Macaca mulatta: one gene and its partner. The protein of the gene in region 1 purifies or fractionates together with the protein of each later gene. This does not show direct contact. Links are inferred from orthologs where the notes say so. Each region holds a gene or a part of one and is shown in the gene's direction. Other genes may lie near its edges. The genes, in order: MAU2 and KPNA1.

Region 1 (3,808 bases):
TCTCCTTCCATCTCCCCACGCACACTTGTGCACATTAGCAGACAAAGGAGCAGGCCAAGCTGTGAGTCACCACCCCCAGGCCACAGAGTTGGCAGGCGCCATGTGCACGCACACCCAAGGGCCGAGCTCTCCACCATGGCCCCGCAGGTGTCGCCTTGCAGGGTCAAGCCAGGCATGTGCCTCCCTTTCAGCCTGTTCAGGCTTTGACACTTGCCTCTGAGGGAGTCCCTCCTTGTTGTTCCTGGAACACACTGGGGACACCCCACTAAAGACAGACCCCACAGGCACCCACGAAGCACTCAGAACAGCCCTAGGTGCTCTCACAGCCTTGGGGGCTGCGCCATGAGCCTTGACTGCTGGTTCTATGCTCCATTAAGTTTAGACGGTGTCTACTGCAGGCACCATTCAGTTAGATGACATATATACCACAGGCCAACTGGAGCTCTGTACCCAAAGCAATTAGCGTTGATGAGATAATTTGGTTAATTTAGCTCACAACTGACACAGGCAGTTTCATTGACGTGGGGAGGTTTGGTTGTTGGTTAACAAAGCACAAAGGCCAGGTACCGTAAAACTGATGGGTTTGGCAGCAAAGGTCACTGCTCTCTCTCTCCGTTTTAGCAACTGCACACGCTTGAGAAGGACCTGGTGTCGGCCTGTGACCTCCTGGGTGTGGGGGCCGAGTACGCCCGGGTAGTGGGATCTGAGTACACACGGTAGGCACCCACTCCCCTCCTTCCCTCCCGCTCTCTTAACATAGAGGGGGCTTGGCCACCTTGGTCCAGGACAAAGAACAGAAATGGCATTTCAGGCCAAGCACAGTGGCTCACAGTATATTCCCAGCACTTTGGGAGGTCAAGGTGGGAGGATCACTTGATCCCGGGAGTTCAAGACCAACCTGAGGAACATAGTGAAACTCCATCTCCACAAAAAATACAAAAGTTGGGGCCAGGCTTGGTGGCTCACGCCTGTAATCCCAGCACTTTGAGAGGCTGAGGTGGGAGGATCATGAGGTCAAGAGATTGAGACCATCCTGGTCAACATGGTGAAACCCCATTTCTACTAAAAATACAAAAATTAGCTGGGCGTGGTGGCGAGTGCCTGTAATCCCAGGTACTCAGGAGGCTGAGGCAGGAGAATCGCTTGAACCTGGGAGGCAGAGGTTGCAGTGAGCCAAGATCGTGCCACCGTACTCCAGCCTGGTGACAGAGCGAGACTCCGTCTCAAAAAAAAAAAAAAAAAAAAATTGGTCACCATGAGGCACAGGTTTGAGCCTGAAGTTCAGGCACCCAAACTTGCCCACTGGCCCTCACACTGTGTGTCCACCGCCGCATATTTTTTGTAGAGATAGGGTCTCACCATGTTGCCTAGGCTGATCTCGAATTGCTGACCTCAAGTGATCCGCCCACCTTGGCCTCCCAAAGTGTTGGGATTACAGGCGTGAGCCATTGCACCCAGCCCCCTTCTGGGCTTTTCACATGAGTGTGTCTAAGCCATGTAAGAAAAATAAATACAGGCTGGGCGCGGTGGCTCACACCTGTAATCCCAGCACTTTGGGAGGCCGAGGCAGGGGGATCACTTGAGGTCAGGAGTTCGAGACCAGCCTGGCCAACGTGGTGAAACCCCATCTTTACTAAAAACACAAAAATTAACCAGGCATGGTGCCAGGCTCCTGTGGTCCCAGCTGCTCAGGAGGCTGAGGCAGGAGAATCGCTTAAACCCGGAAAGCAGAGGTTGCAGTGAATTGAGATCACACCACTGCACTCCAGCCTGGGCAACAGAACGAGACTCTAAGAAAAAAATAATAAAAATAAATAAAAATAAACACAGGCACAATAGGATAAAACAGAGCAGTCTTGTACGGGGACTATTTACTGTCGTCCACTGAACTGTCCCCCGAGGTGGCATATTAGGTCCTGTGAGCCTTGGGGTAGTCACAGTCATCTCAGGAGGCTCCTGGGCCTTCTGGGACCTGACCCCTGCCTCTTGTTTTGCAGGGCGCTGTTCCTCCTCAGCAAGGGGATGGTAAGTTGAGGCTGGGCATGGCTGGATGCAGCCGGTGTCGTGGAGGTGAGGCAGGACTCCCTGCTCAGACCCCGTCCGCTCTCCATGGCATGGCCCCTCACACGCCCAGACCCTTAGGCATAGTGAGCAGCCTGGAGTGTGAGGCCCAGGCCCTGCTGGGTTCAGGAGGGAAACTCAGGCTCCTGCCGATGGGATTCATGCTGAGGCAGGAGCCTGGTTAGGAGCTGCCTGGGCCGGGGTTTCAGGCTGGCCTTGCCCTCTGGGTTGGAGGCAGTAGTCCCAAGGCAGGTGGGCAGGTGAGCCTGTGCTCCCAGTCCCAGGAGGGCCCCTGCAAGCCCTGTACCCTACACCTGTGTCTCTCCCTCCCCAGCTGCTGCTGATGGAGCGCAAGCTGCAGGAGGTGCACCCGCTGCTGACCCTCTGTGGGCAGATCGTGGAGAACTGGCAGGGGAACCCCATCCAGAAGGAGTCGCTGCGTGTCTTCTTCCTGGTGCTCCAGGTCACTCACTATTTGGATGCCGGGCAGGTGTGTGGCGCCTCTTGGGCGGGCTGCTGGTTGTGACCAGTGGGTGTGGGTGGCACCCAGGCCAATGGGTCTTGGGCTGTGAGGTCACCTGTGTCATTGCCTTACCTTGCCACACAGCAGGGCTGTCTTTCCAGCCCCAGACACACACACTTCTGTCCTGCTCTGCTGCGAGTGCTGGCACCATCGTGCCTGCCTGGTGTGCTGGTGCCTGGGAGCAGGGTCTGTCCTGGCCACCCTGCCTCCCTTTGGGAGTACTATGTGTGACATTGTATACACTCGCTCAGTGTGTGGATGCTCAGAGATTGCAATGACGGTTCAGGGAATCATGAGAATAAACCACAGAGGTGCTGGGGCGGTGCCTGCACACAGCAGATGCCCAACTGGTGTCTGTCTGGCCCCCCTGCTGTGGGATTGAGTAGGGACTGATGTGCCCAGCTGTGTCCGAGACTGGACTCCATGACCCCGCCGTGGGTGGGAAACAGCTGTGTTTGAGCTCCTTGTCTGTGCTTGTGTGACCGTCTCGGCCCTTCAGGGGCTGGGGGCTGCCCTGTGCCCCTCAGACCCACCTATCATGGTGGGCCACAGGCGAGTCTCTCCACAGGGCTTGGTAAGGGGGTTGTCCAGTTCCTCCATCCATACCCATCGTTGCCCATTGGGTGAAGCACTGCACTCGGCGCATAGGGACACAGAGCAGACTGCAGCCGCGCTTCCCTCGGGGTGCTAGGGCCGCAGAGACATCCCTCGGGGCCTCAGGGCGAGATGGACCACAGCGCTTGCCCGACTCCTGGGCCAGGAAGCCACCTCCCACCCCCGCGGAGCACAGCCTCCCCTTGCTGTCTCAGGTCTGGCTGCAGGAAGACCAAGTGCAGCTCCAGCAGGGTCTGGACAGGCCTCTCCTGGGCCTTGGTGTTGGACCCAACACTGGGCAGTGGACAAGCCTCAGTCCCACAGCTGCCCGCCTGGCCGTGCCCCGTGCCCTGAAAGCCTGGCTGATTCATGGGAGTGCGGCAGGGGCGGGTCCATCTTGCAGGAGGTGGCCCTGGCAGAAGGGGAAGGCAGGTGCTCCCTGAAGGAAGGGGCAGGGGTGGCTGGGCTGGGCCCGGCTTCCTGAGAGGCCAGGCTCAGGTGGGTGCTCGGGTGTGGGTGCTGCACAGGTGAAGAGCGTGAAGCCGTGTCTGAAGCAGCTGCAGCAGTGCATCCAGACCATCTCCACGCTGCACGATGATGAGATCCTGCCCAGCAACCCCGCTGACCTCT
Region 2 (4,394 bases), on another chromosome or scaffold:
TAGAAGGCCCATCAAAGAGAAGAGGCCTGAGTAAATAGCCCAGACTTTTGGATGGGACCATCAAGGACTAGCTAGGATTAAGGGTGAACTGGAAATAAATTAGCTTTCCCGAAGACTGAAGACCAGCTCTGAATAATCAATCTTACCTCCTTATTGGAATAAGGTGATCTGTCTTCAGTCTAGCTGGGGTCAGGCAAACTTGCCCTTAAGTCTCTCCTGGTGAACACACCTTCCCTTTCCCCAGCCACATTGCTCAAACTCAACTCTGATCTTAGTAAACACATCGCGGGAGAATGCTGATGCAGCAGAGTGAAGTCCAGGACAAATGAACATTGCATAACCTAGGATTCAGGTAGAGTGGTCCTCTGTCTTCTCCTCTTCCCTGGGACATTTATAAATGTACTAATCTACCTCATCTCTTTTACCTTGCTTCTTGGCATATGTTTTAAATCTATCTACTATTCTGTGACCCCTGCTAGGCTGGCTTCAGTTTTTCTTTTGAAGCCACTACTCCATTTGCTCCCCCAAAGAATTCCATCAAATTTAACATTAACAATCATTTGCTCCAAGTTTTCGTTTGAGAGCACTTGAGAGTTAAACGAGTATTTGTGTTTCATGTAGTTTCTTAATTATTATTATTATTATTTTTTTTTTTTGAGGCAGGGTCTCACTCCGGTTGCCCAGGCTGGAGTGTAGTGGTGCGATCTCGGCTCACTGCAGCCTCATCGTCAACCCCGGGCTCAGGTGATTCTCCCACCTCAGCCTCCCCAGTAGCTGGGACTTCAGGCGCCCGTCACCACCCCCGGCTAATTTTTGTATTTTTAGTAGAGACGGGGTTTCGCGATGTTGCCCAGGCTAGTCTCAAACTCCTGGTCTCAAGTATTCCACCGGCCTAGGCCTCCCAAGGTGCTGGGATTACAGGTGTGAACCACTGCACCCGGCACTTAATTATTTTTGATACTACTCATACATTATCAAGCAAAGGGGATGGGACATAACTAAAAAAGGAATGTCCAGAAGCTTCTTGCATTCATACTGCATGTGAGCCCTTTAGACACGAGGCGCTGACCTACTAATTTTGTAATACTCCCTCAGTCTTCAATCATTCCATCATTCATTCCATCAACGCGTATTAGTTACCTACTTTGTTAGAAGCTATACAGAGGTGAACATCGATCCGCCCTGGAAGAGCTTAGCAAAGACAGGTTTGCACATATAACTTTCTCCAACCTTTGTTATGGTCTGCAAACCTCCTTCTTAGCGAGACCCTCTCCTCTCCCCGATCCCCGACTCTTCGCAGGCTGGGCGAGAATCGCTAGGAACGTGCGGCGAGAGAGCGTTACAAGACTACGTCTCCCGGCAGCCTCTGCGGCAAGCGCCGGAGGGGCGCGCGTAGGCGCTCGGGCCGGCCCCCGCACGCAGGCGCACTGCGAACGCCGGCAGAGCTGAGTCTTGCTGCTAGGTGCGCGGCGGCGGAGAGCGAGGCCTGCTGAGCACCGCCGAGGCGCGGGCCAGCTCTTCGAGGTTGTGCGCGGGGAGCGGCACGGCGGGCGGGCGAGCGAGGGCTCACTTCAGCGGTGGCACCGGGATCGGTTGCCTTGAGCCTGGTGAGTGCGGGGGCTTTGCGGCCCCGGCCCCTCCCCCTCCCGCCGGCAGATCCGGGCAGTCCGGGAGGGACTCGGGAGAGGCCCTGGGGCGAGGGCGGGCGCCGGCCGGGCCTCGAGCCGCGGTGCCTGGGCCCGGACGCTCGGCCCGCGTCCGTGCGTCACGGGCCCTGCTGTCCTAACGGCCGCGCGGCCGGCGGAGGAGAGGGTGGGGGTGGGGAGCCCTGGTGTGATCGCCATCGGGAACGCCGGTCGAGGCGGGGCGGGGCGGCGTGGCGCGGCGGCAGGGCTGTAAGCGGCGCCGGGGACTGCGGAGTGCCGAGGCAGCGGGCGGAGAGGAGGCGAGCGCGGAGCCTGCGCCGTGGCTGGGCGGCGGGCGGGAGGCGGAGGTGGGCCGTGCAGAGCGCTCTGACAGAGGCAGGAAGGAGCAGGGGTGGCGTGTAAAATTTCTAACCCTGGCAAGAAGGGACCGTCTTGGGAATTCACAAGTTACAGCCCGGGTCGGAGCCGGCGGCCCGGAGGGAGGTAGGGGAAGCGGGGCGGGGGCGCGGGGAGGTGGAGACGACCGGCTGCAGTTTACAGATGTCATAACAACAGGGGCCTGTAGCGGCTGATTGGGGGTGTGGTAATTACAGGAATGACAGAACTTGGTCTGCACACCGCGTGTTAAAGTGGCGATGCGAGGGAAACAGCTAGGTATCAGATTAAGCTCACAACTGGAGGATAAAACTGAAGGATGACTGGAGTCAAGGGAGTCGTCATGAAGTAATGTTTTTGGGATTGGGTCGTGTTCCACTTTTAAGTGAAAGCGTTCAAAATATTTCGTTTTTAAGGTTTCAACTCGGAACAAACGATTGCCGAATTTTTGTGTTTTAAAGAGATGGGGTCTCGCTATATTGCCTAGGCTGTACTCCCAACTCCTGAGCTCAAACTGGCCTCCTGCCTTGGCCTCCCAAGTAGCTGGGACTAGTCTCGGGCAACCACACCCAGCAATGCAGAGTATTTTTTTTTTTTCTGAAACGGGTACTGTCAAGTAATATTAACTTGAATTTCACCGTTTTTTCTTAAATAAACGGTTGCTTAAAAATCTCTATTAGTAGATAAGGTGATTTCCCCCCTCCTGTTTTTTTTTTCTTAAGAGATGGAGTCTAGCTTTGTTTCCCTGGCTGATCTGGAACTCCTGGCCTCAAGGCATCCCCCCCATTACCTGGAACTACAGGCGGGTGCCACCAACAAGGCTCATTCTCGACACTGTTTTTTTCTTAACTAGCTTTTGCATTTGTAATATTTTGAAAGCAGTCCACAAATTATTTTTCCCTCCTTTTTAAAGATTAAAGAGATGAAAATTTAATTTTTCAAAGGAAAGTAAGAATGAGTACTGTTGTATTTTTACTGAAATAATATATTCCTGGAAGGCACTGTTTTATGGATAGATGAGATGTAAGAGAAAGTAAAGGAATTAACATTTATTGAGTTCTTTTTCAGGTATTGTGTTAAATGCTTTATATATATATTAAAAACATTTAAATCTGAAATATCTGTTAATTTTTCTATTTTACAGATGAAAGCATTGACAATCAAATGTTAAGTAACTTACCTGAGGTCTTCTAGCTCTTATTGAGAACAACCTTAGAACCCAAAGTTACTGCCATTTAAATTATTTCTCTCCTTTCATACTTTTTCGTTGTGTTTTCTTTATTTAATCCGTTCAATCAGCGAATACTTATAGAGTGATCTTCTAGATTTGGAGGGATATAGTCGCGATCAAAACTCACTGTCACTGTTCTCATGGAATTTATAGTGTAGCGGGGAAAGCTAATATTACAAATATTGACTGCATAACATTTTATCAGTTATAGTTGAGTAGCAACTGTAAAGCACTCTACTAAATAGTAAAGGCAGTTGAAATGGAAGCAGACAACATAAGCCTTGAGGAATTTACAGTCCTGTAGGGCAACAAAACATACATTTATAAAAACCTAGAATAAACTAAATGGGAAAGGTATCACCTGAAATCACTGTTCTTGCATTATGTTATTTTTAATTTTATTATTTTTTGGGGGGGGTGTGGAGGACTTGCTCTGTTGCCCAGGCTGGAGTGCAGTGATGCGATCTGGGCTCCCTGCAGGCTCCCTGCAATCTCCGCCTCCTTGGTTCAAGCAGTTCTCCTGCCTGAGACTGCTGGGACTACAGGCGCATACGGCCACACCCGGCTAATTTTTTGTATTTTAGTATAGATGGGGTTTCACCGTCTTGCCCAGGCTGGTCTCGAACGCCTGAGCTCACGCGGTCCGCCCTCCTCGGCCTTCTGAAGTGCTAGGATTACAGGCATGAGCCACTGCGCCCAGCTGCATTATGTTACTTTATAAAGTGGTTCTCATAGAAGTTTCTTCACAGAACTATGATTTAATATACATCTTATCTAGAACTGATACATACCAAAAGGGGCCATGAAAAACATTTTCTTCATTTACATCTAATGAAGAAATTTCTAATTTATTTATTGGTTCCTATAAAATACAGACCTTGGAGACAAATTCTTCCTAAGACCCCAGTATTAAGCTTTTTTTTTTTTTTTTTTTAAAAACAGATGACTGGTTTTATTAGATTGTTTTGTAAGCCATCCTGTTTCTCCATACTTTTGACTGTCAGGAGGCTCAGAGCTGTGTTCAATTTTTATAATTTTCTTTAGTCTCAACTATGTTAAAAATTATTTTATACGTAATCTGGAATTGCTGTCAGTTGTTTCCTGGATTATTTTCTTTATTCTCTGTTGCTCTCGATGGTCCT

What was found.
Region 2: the proteins of MAU2 (region 1) and KPNA1 purify together in Homo sapiens (affinity purification with mass spectrometry; 3 studies listed by BioGRID and IntAct, with this or other methods). This does not show direct contact. The link is inferred for Macaca mulatta from reciprocal best matches to the Homo sapiens genes MAU2 and KPNA1.

Annotation. Positions count from the first base shown.
Region 1 is NC_133424.1:19,928,318-19,932,125, forward strand, and holds part of MAU2 (MAU2 chromatid cohesion factor homolog), read left to right. Parts: intron 1-621; coding exon 622-716; intron 717-1,997; coding exon 1,998-2,025; intron 2,026-2,395; coding exon 2,396-2,551; intron 2,552-3,705; coding exon 3,706-3,808. UniProt on the Homo sapiens protein: Plays an important role in the loading of the cohesin complex on to DNA. Forms a heterodimeric complex (also known as cohesin loading complex) with NIPBL/SCC2 which mediates the loading of the cohesin complex onto chromatin.
Region 2 is NC_133407.1:161,251,014-161,255,407, forward strand, and holds the start of KPNA1 (importin subunit alpha-5), read left to right. Parts: upstream 1-1,525; 5' UTR 1,526-1,607; intron 1,608-4,394. UniProt on the Homo sapiens protein: Functions in nuclear protein import as an adapter protein for nuclear receptor KPNB1. Binds specifically and directly to substrates containing either a simple or bipartite NLS motif.